3 linked regions of the Saccharomyces cerevisiae S288C genome follow. The protein of the gene in region 1 purifies or fractionates together with the protein of each later gene. This does not show direct contact. Each region holds a gene or a part of one and is shown in the gene's direction. Other genes may lie near its edges.

The links.
Region 2: the proteins of ARO4 (region 1) and DLD3 purify together in Saccharomyces cerevisiae (affinity purification with mass spectrometry, with the first as the bait; one large-scale study listed by BioGRID). This does not show direct contact.
Region 3: the proteins of ARO4 (region 1) and YGR266W purify together in Saccharomyces cerevisiae (affinity purification with mass spectrometry, with the first as the bait; one large-scale study listed by BioGRID). This does not show direct contact.

What each region holds. Positions count from the first base shown.
Region 1 is NC_001134.8:711,123-721,203, reverse strand, and holds ARO4 (3-deoxy-7-phosphoheptulonate synthase ARO4), read left to right. Parts: upstream 1-3,209; coding exon 3,210-4,322; downstream 4,323-10,081. Other genes in the region: SPO23 (Spo23p), read right to left, coding at 600-2,171; HIS7 (imidazoleglycerol-phosphate synthase), read left to right, coding at 4,739-6,397; snoRNA-binding rRNA-processing protein ENP1, read left to right, coding at 6,749-8,200; RRT2 (diphthamide synthase), read right to left, coding at 8,450-9,613; chromatin-remodeling ATPase ISW1, read left to right, coding at 9,665-10,081. UniProt on the Saccharomyces cerevisiae protein: Stereospecific condensation of phosphoenolpyruvate (PEP) and D-erythrose-4-phosphate (E4P) giving rise to 3-deoxy-D-arabino-heptulosonate-7-phosphate (DAHP).
Region 2 is NC_001137.3:9,234-19,354, forward strand, and holds DLD3 (D-lactate dehydrogenase), read left to right. Parts: upstream 1-7,121; coding exon 7,122-8,612; downstream 8,613-10,121. Other genes in the region: RMD6 (Rmd6p), read left to right, coding at 4,487-5,182. UniProt on the Saccharomyces cerevisiae protein: Catalyzes the reversible oxidation of (R)-2-hydroxyglutarate to 2-oxoglutarate coupled to reduction of pyruvate to (R)-lactate. Can also use oxaloacetate as electron acceptor instead of pyruvate producing (R)-malate.
Region 3 is NC_001139.9:1,021,125-1,031,862, forward strand, and holds YGR266W (uncharacterized protein), read left to right. Parts: upstream 1-1,531; coding exon 1,532-3,637; downstream 3,638-10,738. Other genes in the region: methionine--tRNA ligase MES1, read right to left, coding at 1-729; FOL2 (GTP cyclohydrolase I), read right to left, coding at 3,880-4,611; HUA1 (Hua1p), read right to left, coding at 4,933-5,529; chromatin segregase YTA7, read left to right, coding at 6,246-10,385; SLH1 (RNA helicase), read left to right, coding at 10,667-10,738.

The sequences.
Region 1 (10,081 bases):
ATACATAAATGTATGGGATACATACGACTGTTACTTGCTACCTCATTTGGAGATCACTAGCTCAGTTGTAAAACTTTTCCATTTGATTGAATAAACTCTAACCTTTTTCATACTGGTAGTAAAAGTCAAACCTACGAAAGTTCACATAATAAGGCCTTCACGCCAAGAGAGTCTAGTGTAGTGTTCTTCAGCTCCTATTGATATACTTTTAGTGCCCAAACACGGGATGTTTCAAGTAATTTTTCCTTCTCTAATTTGACAAGGGAAAATATGGCTAGTAATTCTTGTAAAAATGTCTTCTCCTCAGAGTGGGCGGTGCTTATGTATTAGAACCGGTCGAAATATCATAATATACACCGGCCAGTAGAGAACGGACATGGCGACTTGATACATAAAATGTCTATCTCGGAAGCTGATCAACTTGTGAAGTAGTATTATAGATATCAGCGTGCAAGATACTTACAAAAAGAGAGACCTGTAAATTTATTGTTACGTAAATACATAGTAGAATAAGAAACTAATAAAAAATAGTATATGTATATCATGCAAATAAAAAAAAAAAGGATAAAATAGAGGCGTTGTTCTGAGGTACCGAACATTCATAAGCTATTCTCACCTGCTACCATAGAATATAGTGGGGGTTCATCTTGTAGATCACTAATATTTTCAAATTTTTCATATTTGGGTAACAAAGAGCTGGTCGAAATATCACTATCGCCAACTAAAATTGGAAAATTCACCGTAATACGATAATTTTTTTTCATTTCAAGCCCTTCCACCAATTCATTCCTGCTATAGGTTATTCTGAACAAAAGCAAATGAGTTACTTTGAGGGCAGCATGATTGGGATAAAATGAACTTGGTTCACAGTAGAATGTTTTAAACCAGCTCGGTAGACCATCCGCATAGGTTGGGATGACAACGTCATCAAAGCAAAATCCGAAAATGGTCTTGTCGGAATCGAAACTTTGGCTTTCTACAGTTCTTAGTAAATACTCGGACTTTTTAATGTATGGCTCTCGTAGTATTTTCTTGGTCTTCAAATCAATACTTGGTATTGCCATTCTCTGTGCAACTGCCAAAGAAGCTTCCTGTAATTCAATGGAAGAATCTGTTTTGGTAATTGATAATATCATTTGGAAAGGCATACCAATTTCAATCAACTTGGAGTTTCCAATGACCGATACTACGATCTCACTTGCAGTATTGTATGACCTTAATTGAAATGTTTCAAACTTAAGCATACTCGTTGAAGGCAGGACTCTTTTAACTTTAATTTCTTCTGTTAAAATGATCTTATCTGTAAAACTTTCATTCTTCAAAAATTTGAGTAAGTTTTTAGGTTTACTTGGTATTCTCATTATTGTTGTTAAGCTTTCTATTCGAAAATGGGTCTTGCCAAAGAAGGAAGAGAAACTTGCTGGGAAAGTATTTGCTTGAAGGGTAAAAGTGAATGGGTAATCGTACGTGCCCTTTGTCAATAGAATTTTCTTATCATTTAATGAGTGGTGTATGACTCTCAACTGCTGTTTGGGGTAGGTGGAAGACTCAAAAAACTCTGTGTGATTAAGTTCTTTGATAATTTTGTCACTATAGGAGTTTTTGCTAGTTTCTGAATTTACAAAGCATGCATATTCCTTTGTGAAACATTTTAAAGAAATTGAATGGGAAGTGATTAAGAGGGCCTGGTCTTCTCTATCAATGTTTATCCTAATCTTTCCTTTGATTTGTAGAGGAGTGGCTCTTTCTCTTTCAACATTTGTAGATATATTATCCAGTGAGGAATCGTAATACAACGGATAGTCAGCATTCAATTGTAAATCGGAGAACATTAGTGTTTTGTACTTGTTATCTAGATACAATTCAATGCTGTAACCACATTTTTTATCTACAGATGATGTTACATAGGGATTTTCGTACAGCCGTAGTGAATCATAGCAATACTCAAGGTCTTCCTTAGCCTTCTTGATTGTAGTGCCACCATTTTTTAATTTCTTGAGTTGAATTAATTTTTTTGGTAGTTCACCACTGAAATCTTCATTACCAAAATGCTGCCTTATCTCGCTTTGTGTGGAACTTTCAGTCAGAGTAGTGGATCTACTAGATATATTTTCCGAGAACACTTGTGAAACCTCGGAATTAAGTGAAGAAGATGAAGACGAAAACAACATTAGTCAAACAAAAAAGGGAAATTCTATTTGTCTGATTTTGTTGCAAGATAACAATACTGGCAAACATGGGCTTGAGTGCTTAGGAAGAAATCTTGAGGTAGCAGTAACTTCTTTTTATTAAACAGTATGCAGCCGCCCAAAAAACTGCGATGTCGCCATTAGTTATTTTGTGACACAAAAACAAAATCGAAAACAAAAGAAATAGAAAGAAAAAGAAAAAAACAAAGGCTAAACAAGATTCCATTGTGCAGATTTAATGTTTACAATATAATTACATTCGCTCTTTTTGACCCCAGCTGCACAACCCACATAATTCGCATAAAACAATAACAATTGGCCTAACATAGATGCCAAACACACTTCTGACATAACTGAATGCTAGGGTAAAACTCCACACAGGTTTTTGAACACGAACTGCCAGTATACAGCTAGCCTTGAAAGTGATGGAAAACATTGTCATCGGCACATAAATAAAAAAATTATGAATCACGTGATCAACAGCAAATTATGTACTCGTATATATGCAAGCGCATTCCTTATATTGACACTCTTTCATTGGGCATGAGGCTGTGTAAACATAAGCTGTAACGGTCTCACGGAACACTGTGTAGTTGCATTACTGTCAGGCAGTTATGTTGCTTAATATAAAGGCAAAGGCATGGCAGAATCACTTTAAAACGTGGCCCCACCCGCTGCACCCTGTGCATTTTGTACGTTACTGCGAAATGACTCAACGATGAAATGAAAAAATTTTGCTTGAAATTTTGAAAAAAAGATGTGCGGGACGCATTGTTAGCTCATTGAATACATCGTGATCGAATCCAATCAATGTTTAATTTCATATTAATACAGAAACTTTTTCTCATACTTTCTTCTTCTTTTCATTGGTATATTATCTATATATCGTGTTAATTCCTCTTTCGTCATTTTTAGCATCGTTATAAGAGTAATTAAGAATAACTAGAAGAGTCTCTCTTTATATTCGTTTATTTTATATATTTAACCGCTAAATTTAGTAAACAAAAGAATCTATCAGAAATGAGTGAATCTCCAATGTTCGCTGCCAACGGCATGCCAAAGGTAAATCAAGGTGCTGAAGAAGATGTCAGAATTTTAGGTTACGACCCATTAGCTTCTCCAGCTCTCCTTCAAGTGCAAATCCCAGCCACACCAACTTCTTTGGAAACTGCCAAGAGAGGTAGAAGAGAAGCTATAGATATTATTACCGGTAAAGACGACAGAGTTCTTGTCATTGTCGGTCCTTGTTCCATCCATGATCTAGAAGCCGCTCAAGAATACGCTTTGAGATTAAAGAAATTGTCAGATGAATTAAAAGGTGATTTATCCATCATTATGAGAGCATACTTGGAGAAGCCAAGAACAACCGTCGGCTGGAAAGGTCTAATTAATGACCCTGATGTTAACAACACTTTCAACATCAACAAGGGTTTGCAATCCGCTAGACAATTGTTTGTCAACTTGACAAATATCGGTTTGCCAATTGGTTCTGAAATGCTTGATACCATTTCTCCTCAATACTTGGCTGATTTGGTCTCCTTCGGTGCCATTGGTGCCAGAACCACCGAATCTCAACTGCACAGAGAATTGGCCTCCGGTTTGTCTTTCCCAGTTGGTTTCAAGAACGGTACCGATGGTACCTTAAATGTTGCTGTGGATGCTTGTCAAGCCGCTGCTCATTCTCACCATTTCATGGGTGTTACTAAGCATGGTGTTGCTGCTATCACCACTACTAAGGGTAACGAACACTGCTTCGTTATTCTAAGAGGTGGTAAAAAGGGTACCAACTACGACGCTAAGTCCGTTGCAGAAGCTAAGGCTCAATTGCCTGCCGGTTCCAACGGTCTAATGATTGACTACTCTCACGGTAACTCCAATAAGGATTTCAGAAACCAACCAAAGGTCAATGACGTTGTTTGTGAGCAAATCGCTAACGGTGAAAACGCCATTACCGGTGTCATGATTGAATCAAACATCAACGAAGGTAACCAAGGCATCCCAGCCGAAGGTAAAGCCGGCTTGAAATATGGTGTTTCCATCACTGATGCTTGTATAGGTTGGGAAACTACTGAAGACGTCTTGAGGAAATTGGCTGCTGCTGTCAGACAAAGAAGAGAAGTTAACAAGAAATAGATGTTTTTTTAATGATATATGTAACGTACATTCTTTCCTCTACCACTGCCAATTCGGTATTATTTAATTGTGTTTAGCGCTATTTACTAATTAACTAGAAACTCAATTTTTAAAGGCAAAGCTCGCTGACCTTTCACTGATTTCGTGGATGTTATACTATCAGTTACTCTTCTGCAAAAAAAAATTGAGTCATATCGTAGCTTTGGGATTATTTTTCTCTCTCTCCACGGCTAATTAGGTGATCATGAAAAAATGAAAAATTCATGAGAAAAGAGTCAGACATCGAAACATACATAAGTTGATATTCCTTTGATATCGACGACTACTCAATCAGGTTTTAAAAGAAAAGAGGCAGCTATTGAAGTAGCAGTATCCAGTTTAGGTTTTTTAATTATTTACAAGTAAAGAAAAAGAGAATGCCGGTCGTTCACGTGATTGACGTTGAAAGTGGTAACCTACAGTCACTAACCAATGCAATTGAGCATTTAGGTTACGAAGTACAACTGGTGAAATCACCAAAGGATTTTAACATATCAGGCACGTCAAGATTGATTTTGCCTGGTGTCGGAAATTATGGCCATTTCGTCGACAATTTATTTAATAGAGGATTCGAAAAGCCGATAAGAGAATACATTGAATCTGGAAAACCAATAATGGGAATTTGCGTCGGGCTACAAGCGCTCTTTGCCGGTTCCGTGGAAAGCCCTAAGAGTACGGGTCTGAACTACATTGATTTTAAGTTGTCCAGGTTCGATGATTCAGAAAAGCCAGTACCAGAAATAGGTTGGAATTCTTGCATTCCCTCGGAAAACCTATTCTTTGGATTGGATCCATACAAGAGGTACTATTTCGTCCATTCTTTTGCTGCCATTCTGAATTCAGAAAAGAAAAAAAACCTAGAAAATGACGGTTGGAAAATTGCAAAAGCTAAGTACGGTTCAGAGGAATTTATTGCGGCAGTCAACAAGAATAATATATTCGCTACTCAGTTCCATCCTGAAAAATCAGGTAAAGCTGGTTTGAACGTCATTGAGAATTTTTTGAAGCAACAAAGTCCTCCGATTCCAAACTATAGTGCGGAAGAGAAGGAACTCTTAATGAATGACTATTCAAATTATGGTCTAACACGCAGAATTATTGCTTGTCTTGATGTACGTACTAATGACCAAGGTGATTTGGTGGTTACTAAAGGTGATCAATACGATGTACGTGAAAAAAGTGATGGTAAAGGTGTTAGAAACCTTGGTAAGCCTGTTCAGTTGGCACAGAAATATTACCAACAGGGTGCGGATGAAGTAACATTTTTGAATATAACTTCTTTTAGAGATTGTCCTTTGAAGGATACTCCGATGCTAGAGGTTCTGAAACAAGCCGCAAAGACAGTCTTTGTTCCATTGACAGTCGGTGGGGGGATCAAGGATATTGTCGATGTTGATGGAACCAAAATACCTGCTTTAGAAGTTGCAAGTCTATACTTCAGATCTGGTGCTGATAAAGTATCGATCGGTACGGATGCAGTCTATGCAGCCGAAAAATACTACGAGTTGGGTAACAGAGGAGATGGAACGTCACCAATAGAGACAATCTCGAAAGCATACGGTGCTCAGGCAGTTGTTATTTCTGTCGACCCTAAGAGAGTATATGTAAATTCACAAGCAGATACGAAGAACAAAGTCTTCGAGACAGAATATCCGGGCCCCAATGGAGAGAAATACTGCTGGTACCAATGTACAATCAAAGGTGGAAGAGAATCTAGAGACCTTGGTGTGTGGGAATTAACAAGGGCATGTGAAGCTCTAGGTGCTGGGGAGATTTTATTGAACTGCATAGACAAGGATGGCTCTAATTCTGGTTATGATCTGGAATTGATAGAACATGTTAAAGATGCGGTCAAGATTCCCGTCATTGCATCCAGTGGCGCCGGTGTACCCGAACATTTCGAAGAGGCCTTCCTAAAGACCCGCGCAGATGCTTGCTTGGGTGCAGGTATGTTCCACAGAGGTGAATTCACTGTTAACGATGTAAAGGAGTATTTACTAGAGCACGGATTAAAGGTTAGAATGGATGAAGAGTAATGTGGTTGGATATGTATACTTTATAATCTTGACTCAGTCTATATACGCAATAATGATAGATGTTAAATCAGACATTTCACAACACAAGAGGATGTACAGCTTGGAGAAATTGTACCAACTTATATGGTTGTATTATTGGTGGTGTCAGTAGGGGAAGAAATAGAACATATTTTTCCACTTTTTCATTTTTTTTTTTTAGCGAGGCATCGGAAATGAAAATTTTTAAAAATCGATGAGCTCCCACTTCTTCAACATTGACGAAAGGAAATATGCACTAAGTTGTTTTAAATCCAAGATTTGTCTCGTTTTAAGACTTACAGATAAAACAATATATTAGAAAGATTAACTATAATGGCCAGAGCATCCTCTACTAAAGCCAGAAAACAGAGGCATGATCCACTTTTAAAGGATTTAGATGCAGCTCAAGGTACCTTGAAAAAAATCAATAAAAAGAAGCTAGCGCAGAACGATGCTGCAAATCACGATGCTGCAAATGAGGAAGATGGATACATAGACTCCAAAGCATCAAGAAAAATTTTGCAGTTGGCCAAGGAACAACAGGATGAAATTGAAGGTGAGGAACTTGCTGAATCAGAAAGAAACAAGCAATTTGAAGCCAGATTCACCACCATGAGCTATGATGATGAAGACGAAGACGAAGACGAAGACGAAGAAGCTTTTGGAGAAGACATCTCCGATTTTGAACCCGAAGGTGATTATAAAGAAGAGGAAGAGATAGTTGAAATCGATGAAGAAGACGCAGCGATGTTTGAGCAATATTTCAAGAAATCAGATGATTTTAACTCTTTAAGTGGTAGCTATAATCTTGCAGACAAGATTATGGCCTCTATCCGAGAAAAGGAAAGTCAAGTTGAAGATATGCAAGATGATGAACCACTTGCTAATGAACAGAATACCTCAAGAGGCAATATTTCATCCGGTTTGAAGAGTGGAGAGGGTGTTGCACTTCCAGAGAAGGTCATCAAAGCATATACTACGGTAGGTAGTATTTTAAAAACTTGGACGCACGGTAAGTTGCCAAAGTTGTTCAAGGTTATCCCATCCTTAAGAAATTGGCAAGATGTCATTTATGTGACCAACCCGGAAGAATGGTCACCACACGTTGTTTACGAAGCAACGAAATTATTTGTATCCAACCTAACTGCTAAAGAATCTCAAAAATTTATTAACCTAATTTTACTTGAACGTTTCCGTGACAATATCGAGACCAGTGAAGACCACTCTTTAAACTATCATATATACCGTGCGGTGAAAAAATCGCTTTATAAACCAAGTGCCTTCTTCAAAGGTTTCCTATTCCCATTGGTTGAAACAGGGTGTAATGTACGTGAAGCGACAATTGCAGGAAGTGTGCTTGCTAAAGTCTCTGTTCCGGCTTTACATTCTTCAGCTGCCTTGAGTTATCTTTTAAGGCTACCTTTCTCTCCACCTACAACTGTTTTTATCAAAATATTGCTCGATAAAAAATATGCTTTACCGTACCAGACGGTGGACGACTGCGTGTATTACTTTATGAGGTTTAGAATTTTGGATGACGGTAGTAATGGGGAAGATGCTACAAGAGTACTCCCAGTGATATGGCACAAGGCTTTCTTAACATTTGCACAACGTTACAAGAACGATATTACCCAGGATCAGAGAGATTTCTTGTTGGAAACTGTTCGTCAAAGAGGCCATAAAGATATCGGTCCTGAGATTAGAAGAGAACTATTGGCAGGAGCCAGCAGGGAGTTTGTTGATCCACAGGAAGCTAATGATGATTTAATGATTGATGTCAATTGATGCTGTAATATCAATTTTTCATCAATTTTATATCGCTCGGTCTTTCCCCCTTTCAACAAAGCTTCTGAATCATGTATAATAAGTAGAAAATATAGAGTAAAAGATTATTGTTCAGGCAAGTTCCTTCCTATCAATTCTTTATGCATAATCTATCGAAATCATCAAAATATGGCCTATATATTAGCCTATATATTAGCCTATATATTAGCCTATATATTAGTCCATATATTGCAGACTGAATTTTTTTTTCTAAACTATCCATGTTTGCAAGGAATTATCATAAAATGAGCATGTTGCGATCAAAGAATTTGACCAGTCGCCACCGTAACACATCGAATCATGGCCCTTCTTCAGATAATGTTGAATTTGAAAATACTCATCGGAATTATCATTCATGGTCACCACCTTGGCACCATTGTACATGCAACAAACTAAAAGCCGATCGGAGCCGTTGTGGTGAGATTGTTCCTGATCAATGGGGGATTCAACAAATCTCCAAACACCGCCACCAAGATCACACGCCAATTTATTAACTGTGGGGACATTTGCACCAGGAAATATGGACTCACCCATCATCCTTAAATCCAGAGAACGAATGTTATCATCATAGGATCCAGTTATTATGGACGTGGGTTTATTATTTCGAAAGTTAGGTTGACTACACTTAATGCTAACAACACCAGCATCATGAATACGATTATTACTCCAAATGAATTCTTTGGAACGTAAGTCGTGGGCCATAATTCTCGAATCATCACCTCCTGTAAATACAACGTCTTGAAAAGGCTGTAGAGATCCAAATTCCGCAGTCCAACACTCGAGTTCATGGGGTTTCAAAAATTGTCCCGATTCAACATGAATGACTTTTTCGGTTGCACCTTGAACTTCGTAATCTATTTTATCTAGTTTTGAGTAAGCCTGCGCGATTGCTGATGCCGTGAACTGTACAGATAGTGTTCTTATATCAATGGTAGCTGCTTCGCCTGCCGTATTTGTTACAAGTAATTTCTTACAATCAAGTGGGGAAAAATGGCACGAGGCAATGAGAACATCTTTTTCAAAGAGTTGTAGATTTGCAATTGCATGAATATCTAGTTCGTTTGATTGGAAATCATCCTTATCTGTGCACCGTATCCTCCATAGCATGATATTACCTGTCGAATGGGCCGTGCATATCAATGTATCATCAAAGGGGGATAACTTCAAATCTAGGATTGCGCCATACGTATTATTCGAACATAAAAGTTTGAGGTCCATTGTGAAGACATCCAGTGAGCCTGACCTGTATCCAGTTGACTTATCTAAATCATACGTCCCAACAAGGATGATCTTATTCCTGAATATTCTCAAACAACACGGCGGTAGTTTTGTTTTCACTGCATTTAGTACATCTGATTCTTGAATAGAGTCCATATGTATAGCTATGCAAAAACCAGCTAGAGGTGGATGTAGAAATACCCTATTATGGCCTATATGTTAGCTATTGCAAATTTTCACTTTTTCAAGTTCTATACTAGAATGAGAAAAAAACACGAAAACAATTCTTGCAATGAAAAGGACAAAGATGAGAACCTATTCAAAATTATTCTCGCCATATTTTTGCAAGAAAAAAAAAAATACGATTGTATTTCATCTGGTTCAATTATGACTGCTTCAGAAGAGTACTTGGAGAATTTAAAACCGTTCCAGGTCGGTCTCCCTCCACATGATCCTGAATCGAATAAAAAACGTTACCTGCTGAAGGATGCTAATGGTAAAAAGTTTGATCTGGAAGGCACTACAAAAAGATTTGAACATCTGCTATCCTTGAGTGGTTTATTCAAGCATTTTATTGAAAGTAAAGCCGCTAAAGATCCCAAATTCAGGCAGGTCTTAGATGTA
Region 2 (10,121 bases), on another chromosome or scaffold:
CCAATTTCATGACGATAGATTGAAACGGCAATCAACATCTGAAGAAAAGAAAGTAGTATGACAGCTTGATGTCTTATCTCATTTACTACTTTAATGACTTCGTACAACTTCACTGAGCTAATTTACGCCATTTTTACGCAGATTATGATATTCATTTCTTGAGATATGAGGTCGACTGGCAATGCCTACTCTTATAAAGAGAAAGTTTTTGAAAACACAGTACGTTTACAAAACGATATCAATGAAGGTTGTAGCTACATGCTCTTCACCAGACTAATATATCCTCTTAGTAAAGCGCTATATAATAGTAACTCAATATTTTGTAAATACAATAAGGTTAACGGCGTTATTCATTTTCGTCTGATATTCATTTGCAATTTGCAGTTCAACTTTTCAATGATGATTTAGAATGATCTAACACTGGAAGTTGAAGTTTTTCAAAAATTTGCTGTAAAATTTGACCGATTTGTGAGATTCTTCCTGGCTGTCAGAATATGGGGCCGTAGTATATTGTCAGACCTGTTCCTTTAAGAGGTGATGGTGATAGGCGTTGAGTATGTGTAGTGTTTGACCCGAGGGTATGGTTTTCACAAGTACTGCGCACTGTATTGTGAAAGCAGCTTCGGGGTGCGTGATTAAAAAATGCGACCAAGAATAAACAGGTACATCATAACAAGGGCCATTTGAATTGCATTTATCAGGATTTGTAACCTTGTTCTAAAGAGGCATCGTATAGTTTAAGTTCATTTTCCACCCAATTTGATGACGGTGTGGACCTTAACCTATTGTCTTGAAATTTAGGTTATCTCTTAGATATCACATGTGATTACCCCAGTGAACGCGTATAAGCTTACAGAAAGGAAAACCGGTTGGCTCAGTCAAAACTGTTGCAGATTTGGGCTCCCCTGAATATTTGAGACATCCCTAAAATGAAGAGATATATACAGCTAATTTTGAATGAAAATTTAAAATTCGCAATGAACAGTACTAGAGATGAGCTTTTGAAGTCCTTTCAAATTATTTGTTCTTCCAGTTGATATTTTTTATTTTATATACCAGTACCAAATATAATCTTGCCATACATTTACCTTTTTGAGGTTGTTCAACGGAAATCCAGTGTATTTACACATTCTTGGAAACCCATCGCTTATAATACGAACTAATTTATTTATGAACAAAGGCTTTGGAAAAGTATCCCTACTTTTTACGACGCTAAATCATGATACGAAACTTTAGGAAGATTAACAGTCACTCCATAAAATCAGAAAGTATTCGCTAATAGTGGAAAGAAATGGTTATATAAAGATGGAAATATCTTGAAAGAGACAGTTTAACCCGAAGTTCTGTCAAAGTGTTTGATTTGAATTGAATAGTATCACAGAATGCGTTAGCTATGTACAAAGAATCTATCGGCAAGTATGGGGTAGCAAGCTGCTTAAAGCTTCTTATCACACTGTAACCTCTGTTAAAGCAGCTGCGTTGTTCTTGCACTCTGCACGTAAATGACGACGGCCAATGTAAAAATAGCAGTCACTGCAGGCCTCTTGGATTGTACCCGTAATTACAGCAATTGCCATTAGATTTACGAAGTCATTTAATTAAATGGTTTGATTTATCTCCTTAAATGCTTCCAGAAATGGGACTAGACTTTTTTCACTCAAACCTGTTCACAATTATTGCTCTTTTTCAATTATAAGGTAAACAAGGCCATCTATCAGCAACACAGTGCTCGCATTTTTTAATTAAACTATATAAAACCAACTATTTGTGGTTGCGACTTCACTTTTTGTTGAATTACTACCCAATCATTAATATTGAAGATGTGAGATCATAGATTTATTGGCTTTGGGCATCTCAAATCCCAAGAGGTCATTTTAACCAACAACATTTTAAAAAGTAGATTTGTCTGCCTCAGCTATGAGATGCGCATGTCCCTAGCATCTCATATCTGGTTATATTATTTTTTCCACTTGGTGAATGTTGAAAAAAACACCACTCGTCCAATTTATCAGTTTGCAGGTCTAATGTCCTTCCCTGTTATTTAAACTGTATATTGTAAGCATGTCTTATCGAAACAACTTACTCAGTTGTCCGAAAACAAAACTGCAAATTCTGTGTGTATTCACGTACTAGAATCCTGTCAAATTGGATCTTGATTTAAGCTTTTATAGCAACGAACTTTGCATACTAAGTTTTTTTTGTTAACCGGAACTGCCAAGAAGCATTCAGTAAAATACATCTTCATCATTTACTGATAATACTCATTCAGACTCATATCATACTATTTCGAATTCATTATACATCCTCAAAAACCATATTCTTCAGTTGTAATAAAAGATAGAGCCTGCATTTGATTCGATTTCCGTAATTTGGGGGGCCAAGTCCTAGGTTGACTTCATCTTGGATGTCTATCGCGATGCATTTAGTGTGGCATAGAATTTCTCTCTTCACGAGCAGGGAAGGAATTGTATTATATTATTTGGTAATCGCCTAGTCACAGTCATTTAGAAGAAACTTAGCATCATTATTCCAGCATCATGCACCAGAACAGGAAAATGCCATTTCTAAAAGTATTCTCATAGCCATTAAACGATTCAATACTTTTTTGGTAGCTAAGTCAATGCCTCTCTGAATATTGTATACTATATGAATAAAGTGATCCCATAATCAGACTACCCAGCACTTAGTAGCGCATTTTAGAACTAAATATATATTGCCTTTTTAATACTGTAACTTGAGAATTCTTAATAAGGAACAACAATGGTCCAGAAGGTGTTCGGTAGAAAGATAGAAAATTTTAAACCATACACTATCAAGCAATATTATACTTGTTCTTTAATCAAGAGGGGATTGTACTTTTATTTGATTTGAGGCCGGGTATCTTGATTTCACTTATGTTATACTGTCTCTTAGTTGATAAATTCAATGTTACATTTGCTATCTCATTTTCAGGTCAGCAGCTATATTGACCTTGCTTACATTCAGCGCGTGTGAGGCACTACCTTTAAAACTCTTGTGCTCCTTATTCACCATAGTCTGTTATCCGTTTGTTCTTACGGAGGAAACTGCAATTGATCATTTATGAATCTTTTAGTGAAATTTAGACACTATTAAAATTTAATAATAGGCAAAGTACGTCAATTATCATTCTTGGTTCCTGAAAAGTTGAATCTGTTATGAAGTCTGATATTTGGGGTTAGCATTGTATACTTCCCTTGAGTAATGCATTATCCGTAACGCCACTTTTACCATATTCAAGTGCAGGTATATTTAGCATTTTTTACATATAATATACTGACCTCCGAAGCTAGGTGAGAGAAAGCAAAGGTTTTGAGGGCTATTTTCACCATTGGAACTAAGATCGTACACACTAATTAACTCTCTGCCGGAGGCGCGCGATATATGGGCTGGAGCGGTCCTGACTAAAGTCCTGCTGGAATATTGGTGAAGTGTCTCAAAAAACTAGTAAGGTCAATATCAGGGAAGGAACTATTATTGGCCGAGGCGGCAGCTAGGTTAAAGAATCTAGCCGTCAATGCAACGAAGGTTATCAAGTACATTCAGTTGGATACATTAAAAAAGTTGAATACAATATCAATTCTAGAAGATTGTAGCAAGTTTGGTGAGATAGTTTACGCCTATAATATATAAGTGCTAACTCAATGTTCAGTTAGTAGAATCACAGCCTGAATATTCTGTGCATCGTTTACTCAGGGACAGATGCGATCTCAATGCAGGGACGAAAAACAGTCTTATATGCGCACGCCAGCAAAATCTTTTTTTGCGGCACCTAAGATCTCTCGCATGATAAAAGCATAATATCTTTGCCCCACAAAGTCAAGGCGTATTGGAAAAGCTACTTTAGTTAATAATGAAATGATCGCCCATCCGGGTAAAAATGGTTACAATTCCAGTGTTGATTATTGTTCGTTTTTCAGAGAGAATAATTTAGATGCTCCTATTGAAGAATATCTTGTTAGCGCATAGGGCAATCATCTACGACTTTAACCGCAACTGCGTCTGTTACCGACATTGGAGGATTGTATGCTCAAATGACCCCTGTGGTGAAGATGAACACTTCTTGCACACTATGGTTGAATCTTGACGGTACCCTCACTCAGAGTTTTATAGTATCACACGACGCTACTCTCCCGCTTGTACATTCATTCTGGCTAGTTTATAATAACGTTAAGGAAATGACACCCATACCTCTCAGAAATCCAATTGGAAATAATATTTGTAAAAGCACGTGATATTGCCTTTTTCTTTTATCTGGTTACCAATATGGGATCAATAACTTTACTTTTGAAGATCTTGTTTTTCCTTCAGATAAGAAATCAAAAAAAGAATATATGCACAAAACAGTATGGATATAATACACCTTACTCTTGGTCGTGATTGAAAACGTAAGGTTCTACATAAATTATTGAGAAAGACTTATTTGAAGATATCGAGAGTCTATCATGCCCTTTGCACAACAAAACTAATGTCAGCTTGCCCTTGCAACATCGTTATACTCCCAGTCGAGATTTTGAAGAATTCATCTAAAGATACTAAGTATAGCTTGTATACAACAATTAATCGAGGATATGATGTCCCAAGACTCAAATATGGCATCATAGTTAGCCCTCGAGTGCACAGCCTTGAGACTTTATTCAGTGATCTGGGCTTTGACAAGAATATAGAGAAATCCTCGCTTTACTTATTATTAAATGATCCTACCTTAGCATACCCTAATTTCCATGAACATTTTGAACAGCTTAAAGGTGAAACAAACAAAGATTTATCTCTACCGACATATTATATTCCGAAGGTCCAGTTTTTGACAGAGGCATTCGATTCAGAACATACCCTAGCAACCATCGGCTACAAACCAAATAATAAGGAGAGTTATGAGATCACAGGTTTTACATCCATGGGTAATGGTTATGGTATAAAACTATTCAATTACAGTGTAATTCATATGATGCGGTCTCATAAGTGTAAAAGAGTGGTTGCAGATATTATCATGGAGCATGACCTATTGGGTTACTATGAAAAGAAGCTTGGCTTTGTAGAGGTGCAAAGGTTCAAAGTTCTCAAAGAACAGCACCAAGTAAAGGTATTTGACGATAAAGTTGACTTTACCAAAGACTTTCATGTGATCAAAATGATTAAAGAGTTGGGAAATCATAGATTGTAGTGGTATAGTCCCGTACACACTCTATTTGAATAAACTGTAGGTTCTGCTGAGCAACATATTGATATAAACAGTAAAAAGAAGTGGGTTCCTTGTTTTCCTGCAATTATAACTAACCGTGCTTACTACCAAAAAAAAAGTGCGTATAAATATTCACTATTTACAATGTTGAAGGTTCCAGATGGATACAGAATAGGAATCCTAAATATAAACACTATATTTATTTATTTTTTTCGAATAAAAGTCATGTTAGCAATATTTATATAGTTGATTTTCCTGCATTTATTATATAATTGGCGGCATAGTAACATCAAAAAAAAAAAAAAAAACATTCAAATTGCACTACTTATAGCAGTAGCATCTATAAAAGTTTTATGATATAAACCTTTACAGTTATCTCAAATGGTTTTGGGATTGTCCATCAAATCAAGCGTGATTCATCTATACGTTATTATTCTCCTACAACCCCCTTAGTTTGGAGAGCGCTTAGAGAAATAAAGCATCGATGTTTTCTTACCTTCACTAAAATCAAAATAAAAAAGCTTTTCTATAGTTCACGAATTACGCAATTTATTCTATCATCCTTAAAGTTGATCAATTGCGATTTTAACACACATTTTCAAATGTCATTTTGCGCTTGTATAATAGGTGCCATCTGGACACTTTATAAAAAATAAAGGAAAAGTAAAATATAATGCTGAAAATATAGTTGCCTTAAAATGCCATTGATATGATTTTTTTTTAACCTTAAATCTATTGGCCTATAATATTCGCGGCAAAATGAGCATTTGAAAATCAGTAATAGAATGCTATCAAACTTCGTTCATGACCTTTTTAGCATCATAAGTGTTGAATCGAATCTATCAGTTCAGTAATTAAAAATACTATTTTTCTGTCAGCACAGAACGTAACGACTTTTCCTTATATCCACTATTGATTTCTCTTTAAAGTGCTATGTAAAGTACCTAAAAAACTTGTTATAGAAGTCTCATTCGAAAGCATGTGGGCTCAAAAATTGTGAATAAGATACATAGAAGGAGCCGCTGATCGACACATAATAGTAGAGTTGAACCTAGTTGGTTCAACCATTATCATAGTTATACGAATAAAGCCACAATATAAATGGCCAACCGCTGTTGTCAAACAAGACTATAGGTTCATTTTAACCTGGCGTGCAGTACGCTGGTCTTGCTAACGCCTCTACAATACGTACAGTGCAGGTTTTGACGAATGAAAGTGGTTAGAAGATTAATGTGATAGAAACAAGAATTTTCTCGCAAAGATCTGTATGAAAGGAAACGTTTGGTAAGAACTCTGCGATCCAAATTCTACTGAATGAATAGAAGGCTTCTACAGAACAAGTTGTATCGAAATGATTGTTGGCGACTACTATATTTCTATAGGCATGAAAGTTACTCATAAACAGGAAAGACGCATTTTAGTAGCTTGACCTGGTCAGATTAATCAGCTTCCAACGTTACTTCCCTTTCGCAAGAATCTACCCAAAATGTCTCGAGCATCTTGATAATTACAGTATCGTTCGTCCCGACTTGGCATTTGTTTAAATTTCTAAGATGCTTCCTATAGGAACATAATTGTCAAGAAAGCACAACAAATTGTCTGCAATGTCAACAGGAGTGGCGCATTTTATGTTTTTTCATTTTTTTTTTTTTGTGCGTGATCATTAAGCGGGATATTGTCCACAGTCATCTAAAAGAATGACCATTTCGACGACTTAGTTCGGAAAATATTTCCAGCGGATGACACCACTTGCCACAGTTGGTGACCGCCAAATCTAAGTCACGCGCGGAAACTGAAAGGTTGTGAGTATATAAGTGATCACTCGCTTATATAACTGACGAGGCAGAACAGGGTGCCAAAATGCTCCTCAATATTTTATTCATTTGAGATTCAAGGCTTAAAGACAGCATATATAAGAATTATGACGGCCGCACATCCTGTTGCTCAGTTAACTGCCGAGGCATACCCTAAAGTCAAGAGAAACCCAAATTTCAAAGTTCTCGACTCGGAAGATTTGGCGTACTTTCGTTCGATTTTGTCAAATGATGAAATCTTAAACTCTCAAGCTCCAGAAGAGCTTGCTTCGTTTAACCAGGACTGGATGAAAAAATATAGAGGCCAGTCCAATTTAATTCTCTTGCCAAACTCCACTGATAAAGTGTCCAAGATTATGAAATACTGTAACGATAAAAAGTTGGCAGTAGTACCACAAGGTGGTAACACCGACTTGGTCGGAGCCTCTGTTCCGGTATTTGATGAGATTGTTCTTTCTCTAAGAAATATGAACAAAGTCAGAGATTTTGATCCAGTTAGCGGGACTTTCAAGTGTGACGCGGGTGTCGTTATGCGTGATGCGCATCAATTTTTACACGACCATGACCATATCTTCCCATTGGATCTGCCTTCTAGAAACAACTGTCAAGTGGGCGGTGTAGTTTCAACAAATGCAGGTGGTTTGAACTTTTTAAGATATGGGTCTCTACACGGTAATGTTTTGGGTTTGGAAGTGGTGCTACCCAACGGTGAGATTATCAGCAATATCAATGCCCTAAGGAAGGACAATACTGGTTATGACTTGAAACAATTATTCATCGGTGCAGAGGGTACTATCGGTGTCGTTACTGGTGTATCCATAGTTGCAGCAGCAAAGCCAAAAGCCTTGAATGCCGTATTTTTTGGTATTGAGAATTTCGATACCGTTCAGAAATTATTTGTCAAGGCTAAAAGTGAATTATCTGAGATTTTATCTGCTTTTGAATTCATGGACCGTGGCTCCATTGAATGTACGATAGAATACTTGAAGGACTTGCCTTTCCCTCTGGAGAACCAACACAACTTTTATGTTCTTATTGAAACGTCAGGGTCCAATAAGAGACACGACGATGAGAAGCTGACTGCTTTCCTCAAAGATACCACAGATTCTAAATTAATTTCGGAGGGTATGATGGCTAAGGACAAAGCCGATTTTGATAGACTTTGGACCTGGAGAAAATCTGTTCCAACAGCTTGTAATTCTTACGGTGGTATGTACAAGTATGACATGTCACTTCAATTGAAAGATTTATATTCCGTATCTGCGGCTGTGACGGAGAGATTAAACGCAGCCGGTTTGATTGGTGATGCACCAAAACCAGTTGTTAAATCATGTGGTTATGGTCATGTCGGTGACGGAAACATCCATTTAAATATCGCGGTAAGAGAATTTACAAAACAGATTGAGGACTTACTAGAACCATTTGTTTATGAATATATTGCATCAAAGAAAGGTTCCATCAGTGCTGAGCATGGGATCGGTTTCCATAAGAAAGGTAAGTTACACTACACCAGAAGTGATATTGAAATTAGATTTATGAAGGATATCAAAAATCACTACGATCCAAATGGAATCTTAAACCCATACAAGTACATTTGAACTTTGTTAATTTTTAACTTTCAAAGAGCAAACCCTTTTTCTTTACAGTATTATAGATTTACATATATGTATTTATCAATTTATTATTGATCAAAATTAATATACCATAAAATATTTATCTTAAGCCGTTGTTCTTGAACGATTTTCGGTGAAGAAACCTAAGAGACCATTTTTTGTGGAAAAAGGTCTCGTTTTCTATAGATCTGCGACCAGGAATCTCCTGATTGCGTACTTCAAAAAGTGTTCGTCCATTTTTTCTTTACTACATTAGATAATTATACATAATCCAATTGGAGTAGTGACATGAGTATTGGTATAACCTTAATCCAACAATTTTAAACACGTACTAAAGTGATCTGGACTCATTAAAACTCAAATCTCGTCCAGTTTTTTCTTCATTTGTGATCAACATCCAGGGAGACACGGAGATTATAGTAGTAGTTAATAACACTTCGCAATTACTTATTCAAGTATGTTATTAAATAGTGAAGAGGAATGAGTTTTCAGATCACATGTTATTCTCCAAGAATAATTACATAAGTTGCCATTTCAAATGTGCGCAAACTACCTTCTGTATTCTTTGCGCTAATGCCTTACTCAGTCTCCCACTTTTAACGTTTATTTCTTGTAAGAGTCGAAACTAAACCTTAGTTGAGCTTAAATTCAATCAAGTTCAAGAAGCGTTCTGGCCCACACTTTAAAGCGACTACAATTAGGAAGAGCTCACTAGGACCAACGTATTCAATGTGGATATCATGAAAAATTTCATCTCCAAAAAGCCAAAATTCTACTCATAATGACAGTGGTGAGAATTAGCAAGGTAAAATATTGGCATTATGTGGCAGGAGAAGGGAAATACGAGAGCGGAGATAAGTTGGATATTAATGAGCTTTAGATGTTGAAAAAAAAAGAAAGCGTTACAATGCTCAATAAAACAATGACTTCCCGGAAAAGATTTTTTGATTATTTTATTCCGAGAAAGGCCGATGTATGCTGAACCAACGTGTTGCTTGCCAACTTCAGCATACTTTGTTTGCCACCCTACTAGGAAGTGACCCCGAGAACTTTATTTTCTGCACCCATGGGTGCCTAAAACTTATTTTTCTGCAGGGCGTTTGAGAAATAAGGGATATGGCAAAAATCGAAACGTGGGGTAGTTTCGTGCCTTCTTATGTGCCTATCTTGATTTTTGCCTTTGTGCCTTACTCTCCTTACCCCGCGATACCCCACCGTATATTTACTCTCTCCTTGGCACGGACCTAAAAATAACTGTAGAATGAGCTCAACAAACAGGTAACTTTACGTAAACTGTTCTTTTTATCTTTCAGCTCGCCATTTTCTGATGCAGTACATAGAACTGTGATACGTCATTATATAGACTTTTCGCACACACAACCAATTAAGCTTGCGCATCAGTGGTGGATATATGGACGGATACCTCGTATATTCTGTTGTTGTCGTGGGAGAGGGCATCGCAAAGTCTAGAAGTAATTAAATTACTTTCAGCGT
Region 3 (10,738 bases), on another chromosome or scaffold:
AGTACCACAAATAAACAAGGCATTATAATTACGTCCCTTACAGTAACGAGCAAAAATGTCTGCTGAAAGAACACTACCGATGATATTACCCAAGTGTGGAACGTTGTTGACATAAGGTAATGCCGAAGTGATCAAGATGTTTCTTTCGTTTGGCTTAGGCAAAATTTCTGAATCCTTTGGCTTAACTGTTAAGTCAGCTTGGATTTTCACTGCGCCGATGTTTTTGAAAGAAGAAGAATCACGTGGAACATGCTTTTTAGCCAATGCTACAGCGTTATGCACTTTGGATGGCAATTCTGGGAATTTAGAATGAACTAAAGAAGAATTTAGAGCATAAACGTTAGCAAACAGGATCAAATCTGTAGTAGTCAATGGTTCTTTTAATTCGACCAAGTAATTTTCAATGGCCTTATTTGTCAAAACCTCGACATGTTGTTGAGGTAATTCTTTATGATATAACAGGTTTTGTAAAGATGCCAATGCAAATTGATACTTGTCGGAAGTTTGACCTTCAAAATCATCCATGACATATCTTAGAATAGCGTTAGCATCAAACAAAAGGAAAGGTTCCTTTGTATTGCGCAATTCCATGGCAGCATTATCATTGTCAACTTCAGGCTTTAAATTTTTGCTTGCATATTCAAGTGCTAGGGCAATCTTCAAATTGTTCGCTAACTGCAAATGGGCAGGATGTTTCTTCGATTTATCAAAGGAAATGAGGAAAGACATGCTTGTTGTAAATTTCCGCTTTTTTTTCAAGTTTTATTCCTCCACAAAGATGCATATCAGGAAGCAAATCATCATTAACATTAGACATCGAAGAAAATTTGTCATCGTCTTTTTTTTTTTTTCGTTTTCTCTTTCGATAAGTTGCGTACAGAAATTTTTTCTGCCTCCGAAATCATTCGTGCCTCGTGATATTGAGAAGAAGTGACTATACTCGGGCAATGCATAAATGATCGTTTCGGCGGCTAACAAAGATAATCATAGCAAGTCGACAGATCGATAGGATACACCATTATCATCACGCTACGCGTTCTCGGGAAAGCTTTGACTAGAATATTTTTCAAAGTTGAATTATATTATGTTAATCTTTTGACTTCATGCCTTTTGAATTCCCCTCCATAGGTTCCCATTTTTGACTTCAACAATTCCTACTTCAAAATCCCTGGTTAAAGAAGCCTTTCCTCAGTTTGTACAACTATGTCCGCTGTAGCTAAAAAGTTAGCATAATTCATGTTTTATGCCTGAGACGTTTTAAACTAGTACTTAATCTCTATCAATAAACTTAACCCAGAAGGTCTCAAGATTAAACATGTTATTTTTTCGTCCTTTTATTGAAAAAAGTTGAAATAGCAGCGTCGGGTAATACCAGGAATATATTTTTATCGGCACGGCTACATAGCGAAGGGTCCATTAGTAAAAATGAAAAGAAATTCCACAAAGTTAGTGAGGGGAAAGTCCTACAGAAGGTCAAAACAGTTGCTACCGGGTTCAAAGTACTCAATTGAAAATAAACACTGCTACAAAAATGCATGCTACAAACTGGTTCGACGATTGGAACCCAGAAGCTCTTTATAGAGACGATGTCACTGGCTGCGATGACTGTTCCGAAACTTCGCCAATTCCAAAGTCTGGTATTATATGTGGACCGATATTAAGACTCATCAACATGGATTTTAAGGAAAAAACCTACGAGGGGTCTATTATGGTGGTAGTTAGAGGCGAGGAAAACTTTCCGAAAATTACCTATCAGCTAGGGCCCTCTTTGCCCTCTGAGGATGAAGACATCGAAGTTAACGAGGCATTCTTCGAAGGTAAACTTTTTCATAAGGACATTTTAAAAGATGATAATATATGGTTTTACAGGTATGAGATTAAGTTGCCCATGTCCAACTATGAGCAGATGGTAAAATATGCTGTTGACGGTACTATGGAACCACATTATAGGTTCTTCGTTCCCTCTTTCACTCAAAATTCGAACGTTATCTCCTATTCATGCAACGGATTTTCACTGAGCGTAGATACATCGAAATTCAAAGGTTCTCTATGGTATGATGTCCTTAAAAAGCATCGATACGTTCATTATCATGCCATTCTCGGCGGCGGAGATCAAATTTACTCCGATAATATTAAACTGCATGCGCCAAATCTTAAAGCTTGGCTGGAGACAAAGGACCCAATTAAGAAGTATAATACTCAGACCACTGAAGAAACAAAAGAGCAGATTAGGCAGTTTTATTTAGAACACTATTTAAACTGGTACGGTTACGGTCACTGGTATGGTTCTACCCCAAAATCCAAGACCACCCAAAAATGCTTTGTCAAGTCACTAGCTTGTATTCCTGCCATTAATGTCTGGGATGACCACGATATTATTGATGGCTATGGATCGTACAACGATTCCTTCATGAAGACTGAAAATTTCCTCACAGTGGGAAGAATGGCTTACCGATACTATATGCTTTTCCAGCAGCATGTCAGTGCTTCTAAACAAGATGGCGATGAGTATGCTTATCTCAAGAGCAAACAATGGATTCTAGGTAATGAAAAAGGGAGTTCTTATATCGGTGAAAGGTCTCACTCAATATTCTCTTGGTTGGGTCCGAAAATGGCCATGTTAGGGTTGGACTGTAGAACTGAGAGGAAATTACACGAGATTTTCTCAGAAAGAAGTTATTCCTTAATTTGGGAACGTGTCGAAAGGGAAATAAAAAATTTAAAAGGTGGCCACTTATTGCTGATGCTCGGTATCCCGATTGCATATCCAAGGTTAGTATGGTTAGAATGGCTTTTTACCTCAAAACTACTGGCTCCAATTAAATATTTATCTAAAAAAGGGATATTTGCTAGTGGCTTCGTTAACGAATTTAATGGAGATGTAGAACTGTTGGATGATTTAAATGATCATTGGTGCGCGAGACATCATAAAAAAGAAAGAAACTACTTGATAATGAAATTGCAAGACATAGGTGCTAAATATGGCGTCAGAATAACCATATTATCAGGCGATGTACATTTGGCATCTGTTGGGAGATTTAGGGCAAAAATTCATAGACACCATCTCATCATGTCTGAGGAGAAGGAAAAGGAAAACACCAGAATTATTGAAGAACCAACGAAAGACGTAAGGCTGATTTTTAATATCATTGCTAGCGCCATAGTAAATACCCCACCGCCAGATGCAATGGCCACGCTATTGCAAAAAAGATGTCGCTTGCATCATTTCGATTTGGAAACGGATGAAGATGCCGTACCAATTTTTGCCAAGGAAGTGGATGGAGTACATAAACGTAAAGAATCATGTTTCATGAACAAGAGAAACTGGTCAGATATTATACCTATAGAAAACCTGTTGAATAATCCCCAATTGAGTAAAGAATTAGGCGTAAAGGTTGGTGATATAGTCATTCCTGGTATCATCACAGAACAGCAAAAGCTACAGAAATTGGAAAACGATGACCAAATTAACTCTTATCCAGTAACTTCTGGTGGCTTGTTTACCACCATTCATGTTGAAAGAGATGCAAATCAAACAAACTCACAAACTGTGAGCTACTGTTTACCCATTCCAGAGTTAACAGTTACCTGCGAACGGTTGTCTCACAAGGGTATCAAACATCTGAATATCACATAGTTTAGTTTTGTGATAATTACAGATTTTTATTTAGCAGTTCAAACTTTTCTATTCATTACTAACGGACTGTCAAGTGCGATGCTGTACCGGAAGTAAATGTATATACTGATTGTTGAAAAAAAAAAAAGCTCAGTCGCGCGTGGCCTTTCTCTATGGAGATTTCTCAAACGATATTAATCCTGTATATCTCTATTAATTTAGTTAATACATACACGATATATCGTCGCTTTTATTTTTTTTTTTCAAATACTTCTTCTTCCTAAAAGAGTTAAAAACTCTTCTCTTGTTTTATGAGCCCTAAACCCTCCAAGCATACAAGAAGTTACCGTAGAAGATCCCGTTTTTTGAATGCCTCTTGAAACCATGCACATATGAGAAGCTTCCATAACAACGGCTACACCTAATGGTTTTAGAATATCACTTAGGGCCATTGCAATTTGCTTTGTAAGTCTTTCTTGAACTTGGAGCCTTCTCGCATACATTTCTGCCAATCTGGCCAACTTACTTAACCCGATGACTTTTTTATTTGGTATATACCCGATATGAACCTTGCCGAAAAATGGCACCAAATGATGTTCACATAACGAGTAAATTTCAATATCACGAACAATAACCATTTCATCATGATCTTCTTCAAAGACAGCATTCTTAATGACATCGTCCATAATGTTCGTTTGGTAACCTTTAGTGAAATAAAGCATGGCTTTAGCGTATCTTTGTGGAGTATCTAGTAGACCTTCTCTGTTGACATCTTCACCCAGTTCGGTCAAAATTGTCTTGATAGCGCCTGAAATGCGTTGAATTCGTTCCTTTTCCTCCTCTTCAGTTTCCTCTGCACGTTGTCTTGTACCCACACTTGGCCAAGAAAACCCATCTCTCTCGACAGGAGGGTTTAAAGTGTATGGAGAGGTAGGTCTAATGTTTAACGGGGTTTCATGTCTTTCTATCTCTTGCACTAATTGGATGTTATGCATTTTGGGATGATTGAAAGTATTGGTTCTAACAAAAAATGAGTCACGCACGCACAATCACGATTGAGGATGGAGTCGTATAATATTTTATGAACGGATGCTATATCGATCAGACGGTTGGCACCGTAAAAATAAATGAAAGAAGTTAAAGAAGGGCAAATCAGTCGGATTATGTGATAAGTATGTAATAGACATGTTTGAAAATTAGGAGCATTAAAATATGCTTTTCATCCTACAGTTGTTCGGTCTTTTTTCTTTTCGGTGAGCGACACAGCTTTTCTACTAAGGCCGTACCGGGTCATCCAAATCCTAAATTTTCATGCGCTAATAGCGTTGAGGCTGGGTGATAATTCTGCCTACACCATGACAAAGAGGACATATATCTTCGTCCAACAGGAATCTGGTGCGTCCGGACCCTCTGCATTCACCACATAGCACGCCACCCAGGCGAGGATCCCCTGGTTGAACGTACAAGGGCCTATTACCCTGCCATGCGTTGGTGTACACGGGCATTGTATAGTTTGTGTAATATGTCGGTGCAGAAACAACGTTATTTTGAGGTGCAAACCTCCTCCAACACGACTTGCAAGATCGTCCATTCTTCAACTTGTAACCCGTATTTCCACACTTGGAACAGTAAAACCTGGGAGGGTATGTCCAGGGCAAGCTAGGATTCTGTTGTGGCCTCGGTGGAGGCCGTGGTTGGGAACTTGTAGGCGTATAAGAGTGTGAGTGAGCATATGTTTGGGATGAGGACGTTGCTGGCATTGTCGAGGGCCTTTGGTGGGGTCTTGATTGGTGCCCTTGCGCCAAGTTAGCTGCTGGTCTTGGTGGTCGTGGCGGTTGAGATTGCAATCTCTCCTCTTCCTTGATTACGTCCTCGTAGCTCGGCAGTTCATCATCATGCGTGTCTTTAGACATAACAGTATGGTTTATACTCGTTTTATGGGTATTTTTTGGGACTGCTTAGTTCTTGACTTGAAGCCTCTTTATTCCCTTGATGGAAGTGTCACTATTAAAGATGGAGGCGGAGGCTATACCGTAGAAAATGATATGTTTGTATGTTCTGCTCTCTTCCCTCTATTAAAAGGGGGAAAGAGAAAAATAAATGGAAAAAAGCGATTAAGCCATAGGGAAAACACTCTTGTGGTGGCAAAGCATCAGATAGGCAGGCAGGAGGAAATGGCAGTGAAGTGTCAAACCAAGCATACTTTCACTGGATTGATTTGAAAGTTAATGCTGAGTTTGAGATGTTTTAAAGAGGAACTGTGGTGATCGGTTATTTCTATTCGCTTTTGTGTGCGTCTTTTCATCGTTTGCAGCTGAACTTGTTGAGGCATTAGCCGCTGAGGAATTTTTTTCTGCCTCTATAAACTTGTTTATTATCACTAAAAACGTACCGTCTGTTATTTTGTACGGCCATGTGTGCGAAAAAGGACAAAGTGGTAGCGAAAGAGCAATATTGGGACGAAAAGGAGCAGAAAAGGAACTGCGTAGGGTCTTAAATAAAGCAAAACGTCTGAAGGATCTTGCGTACTCCTTACTAACCCATTGTTGTTTTCGACAGTCATAAAAAGAAGTTACCACGGTCTATTTCTCTCTTCTCGCTATTTATTCACAATTGGTGCAGAAAGAACATGGCACGAAATTTAAGGAATAGACGCGGTAGCGACGTTGAAGATGCAAGCAACGCAAAGGTTGGGTATGAAACACAGATTAAAGACGAAAATGGCATAATCCATACAACAACTCGCTCTTTGAGAAAAATAAACTACGCAGAAATTGAGAAAGTGTTTGATTTTTTGGAAGATGACCAGGTCATGGACAAAGATGAGACGCCCGTTGATGTTACTAGTGATGAACATCATAACAACAACCAGAAAGGCGATGATGAAGACGATGATGTTGATCTTGTATCACCGCACGAAAACGCCAGAACGAACGAAGAGCTTACTAATGAAAGGAACTTGAGAAAAAGAAAAGCGCATGATCCAGAAGAAGATGACGAAAGTTTTCATGAGGAAGATGTCGACGATGATGAAGAGGAGGAAGAAGCAGACGAATTTGAAGATGAGTATTTGGATGAAGACTCGAAGGATAACAACCGTCGGCGCAGAGCGGCCGATAGGAAATTTGTAGTACCAGACCCTGATGACGATGAAGAATACGATGAGGATGACGAAGAAGGAGACAGAATAAGCCATTCGGCTTCTTCTAAACGTTTGAAAAGGGCAAATTCTCGAAGAACAAGATCGTCACGTCACCCAGAAACTCCACCACCGGTAAGAAGAGCTTTAAGAAGTAGGACAAGACATTCGCGTACTTCAAATGAAGAAAATGACGATGAGAATGATAATAGCAGGAATGAAGCGTTAACTTTAGCTGATGAAATTAGAGAGTTACAGGAAGATAGTCCTATCAGGGAAAAAAGATTTCTTCGCGAAAGAACTAAGCCGGTAAATTACAAATTACCACCACCACTAACTGCTAGCAACGCAGAAGAATTTATAGATAAGAATAACAATGCACTTTCTTTTCATAACCCATCACCTGCACGGCGTGGTCGCGGTGGTTGGAATGCTAGTCAAAATTCTGGTCCCACAAGAAGGCTTTTTCCCACTGGTGGACCTTTTGGTGGCAATGACGTAACTACAATATTTGGTAAGAATACTAATTTTTACAACCAAGTCCCATCTGCATTCAGTGATAATAACAACAATAAATTAATACTGGATTCAGACTCTTCCGATGATGAGATATTACCTCTTGGCGTGACACCGAAAACAAAGAAAGAGAACACGCAAAAAAAGAAGAAGAAAAAACCAGAAATTGCAGACCTCGATCCATTAGGCGTAGACATGAATGTAAATTTTGACGATATAGGTGGTTTAGACAACTACATTGACCAATTAAAGGAAATGGTGGCCTTACCACTATTATACCCAGAATTGTATCAAAATTTTAATATCACGCCCCCAAGGGGTGTTCTTTTCCATGGTCCTCCTGGTACGGGTAAAACACTTATGGCAAGAGCGTTAGCAGCAAGTTGTTCTTCTGATGAAAGGAAGATCACATTTTTTATGCGTAAAGGTGCAGATATTTTATCCAAGTGGGTTGGTGAAGCTGAAAGACAACTCCGTTTGTTATTCGAAGAAGCTAAAAAACATCAACCTTCCATCATTTTTTTTGATGAAATCGACGGATTAGCGCCTGTGAGAAGTTCCAAACAAGAACAGATCCATGCTAGTATTGTTTCCACATTATTAGCGCTGATGGATGGTATGGACAATAGAGGCCAAGTCATTGTCATCGGAGCCACAAATCGACCCGATGCAGTGGATCCCGCATTAAGAAGGCCGGGAAGATTTGATAGAGAATTTTATTTTCCATTACCTGATGTTAAAGCACGTTTTAAAATTTTGCAAATTCAGACCAGGAAATGGAGTTCACCGTTGTCAACCAACTTCATTGATAAATTGGCTTTTTTGACCAAAGGATATGGTGGTGCTGATCTGAGGTCCCTATGCACTGAGGCTGCACTAATAAGTATACAAAGAAGCTTTCCTCAAATTTATAGGTCAAATGATAAACTCTTGGTGGACCCTTCTAAGATTAAAGTCAAAGTTAGCGATTTCATGTTAGCTTTGAAAAAAATTGTTCCGTCATCTGCGAGATCTACTGGTAGTTCTCCTCAGCCACTACCTGAATTAATCAAACCATTACTGGCAGATCAACTTAATAATTTAAAGAACAAGCTGGATTATATGCTGAACATTAAAGACACAACTTTTCAGAGAAACACATCATTGCTACAAAATTTCATCGATTATGAAGAATACAGTGGAGAGGAAGAAGAGCATGACAAATATGGAGGAAATGAAGATACATCCAGTTTTAGATCATATGAGTTTTTCGAATCGATGGCGGAATCACAAATTTGTAAACCTCGGTTATTAATAAATGGGCCCAAGGGAAATGGTCAACAATATGTCGGAGCCGCAATTTTAAATTATTTAGAAGAATTCAACGTCCAAAACCTGGACCTTGCCTCTTTGGTTTCGGAAAGTTCTAGGACTATTGAAGCTGCTGTAGTGCAAAGTTTTATGGAAGCAAAGAAAAGACAGCCCTCAGTTGTATTTATTCCTAATTTAGACATTTGGATCAACACTATTCCAGAAAACGTTATTTTAGTCTTATCAGGTTTGTTCAGATCTTTACAAAGCAATGAAAAAATTCTTCTATTATGCTTAGCTGAAAATCTTGATATATCTGAAGTTAAAAATGGTATTTTATCTGATTTTGCTTTTGATAAAAATATCTTTCAACTGCATAAACCATCCAAAGAGAATATAACGAGGTATTTTTCTAATTTAATTGAACTACTGAAAACAAAGCCAAGTGATATTCCCATGAAAAAGAGAAGAGTCAAACCGTTACCTGAATTACAAAAAGTAACTTCAAACGCAGCTCCAACAAATTTTGATGAAAATGGTGAGCCACTGTCTGAAAAAGTGGTATTAAGAAGGAAGTTGAAATCTTTTCAACACCAAGATATGAGATTGAAAAATGTGTTAAAAATCAAACTCTCAGGCTTGATGGATCTTTTTAAAAACAGATATAAAAGGTTTAGAAAACCACCTATTGATGATGCCTTCTTGGTTCATCTTTTCGAACCAGAGACAAGCAATGATCCCAATTGGCAACCTGCATATATAAAAGATGAGAACATGATTCTGGAGGTTTCAACAGGGCGAAAGTTTTTTAACATGGATTTGGATATTGTCGAAGAGAGACTTTGGAATGGCTATTACTCAGAACCAAAACAGTTTTTAAAAGACATTGAACTGATATACAGGGATGCAAATACCATTGGGGACAGAGAACGTGTCATTAAGGCCTCTGAGATGTTTGCCAACGCGCAAATGGGTATCGAAGAAATTTCAACCCCGGATTTTATTCAAGAGTGTAAAGCTACTCGCCAAAGGGATTTGGAAAGGCAGGAACTTTTCTTAGAAGATGAAGAGAAAAGAGCTGCAATGGAATTAGAAGCCAAAGAACAGAGTCAAGAAAATATACTGCAAGAACCTGATTTAAAGGATAACAAGGCTAATGAGTTTGGTGTAGCTGCTGGTAATCAATTGCAAGCTCAGCTGCAAACAACTATCAATACAGCCTCTATCGTTAATAACAGCGAGGTCCCTCAACCAATTGATACCAACCTGTATAAAAAGGAGATTCCTGCGGCAATTCCCTCTGCAGTAGATAAAGAAAAAGCGGTCATCCCTGAGGATAGCGGTGCAAATGAAGAATACACAACGGAACTGATACAGGCCACTTGCACGTCAGAGATAACCACCGATGATGATGAAAGGGCCAGAAAAGAACCAAAAGAGAATGAAGACTCTTTGCAAACGCAGGTTACGGAAGAAAACTTCAGCAAAATAGACGCTAATACTAATAATATAAATCACGTAAAGGAAATTCAATCGGTTAACAAACCAAATTCCCTCCACGAAACGGTAGAAAAAAGGGAACGAAGTCCGATACCAAAAGAGGTTGTGGAACCGGAGCAAGGGAAGAAGAGCGACAAGGAGCTTATTTTGACGCCCGAACAAATAAAAAAAGTATCTGCATGCTTAATCGAACACTGTCAGAATTTTACGGTTTCTCAATTAGAAGATGTTCATTCGTCCGTTGCAAAAATAATATGGAAAAGTAAATCAGCATGGGATAAAACAGGAACTGTCGATGAAATAATAAAATTTTTATCTGAATAAGCAGGAGTCCATAATGTTTATATAATTCTTAAATGTAGTTAGTTCATATACATGAATGTGCACTTTTCTTGAAAAGAAATAGATTTAAAACCACACCTTGTATATATATTATGCTTTTTTCCACTACTTTATTTTAACAGTCACTGTTCTGGCATACGTTTCGGGTAATGACCGAGAATGGAATATGTATTGAACATATTGAAATTAAACATGTTCATAATATCTTCTAACACCATTGGAATTGTGAGAAGTAGATCCGTACCATCAATAGCCGGCTCAAGATGTCAACTGAATACTCTGCTGATTCATCTAAATCATTTATGATTGCAATGCAATCTATGATTGATACTTCA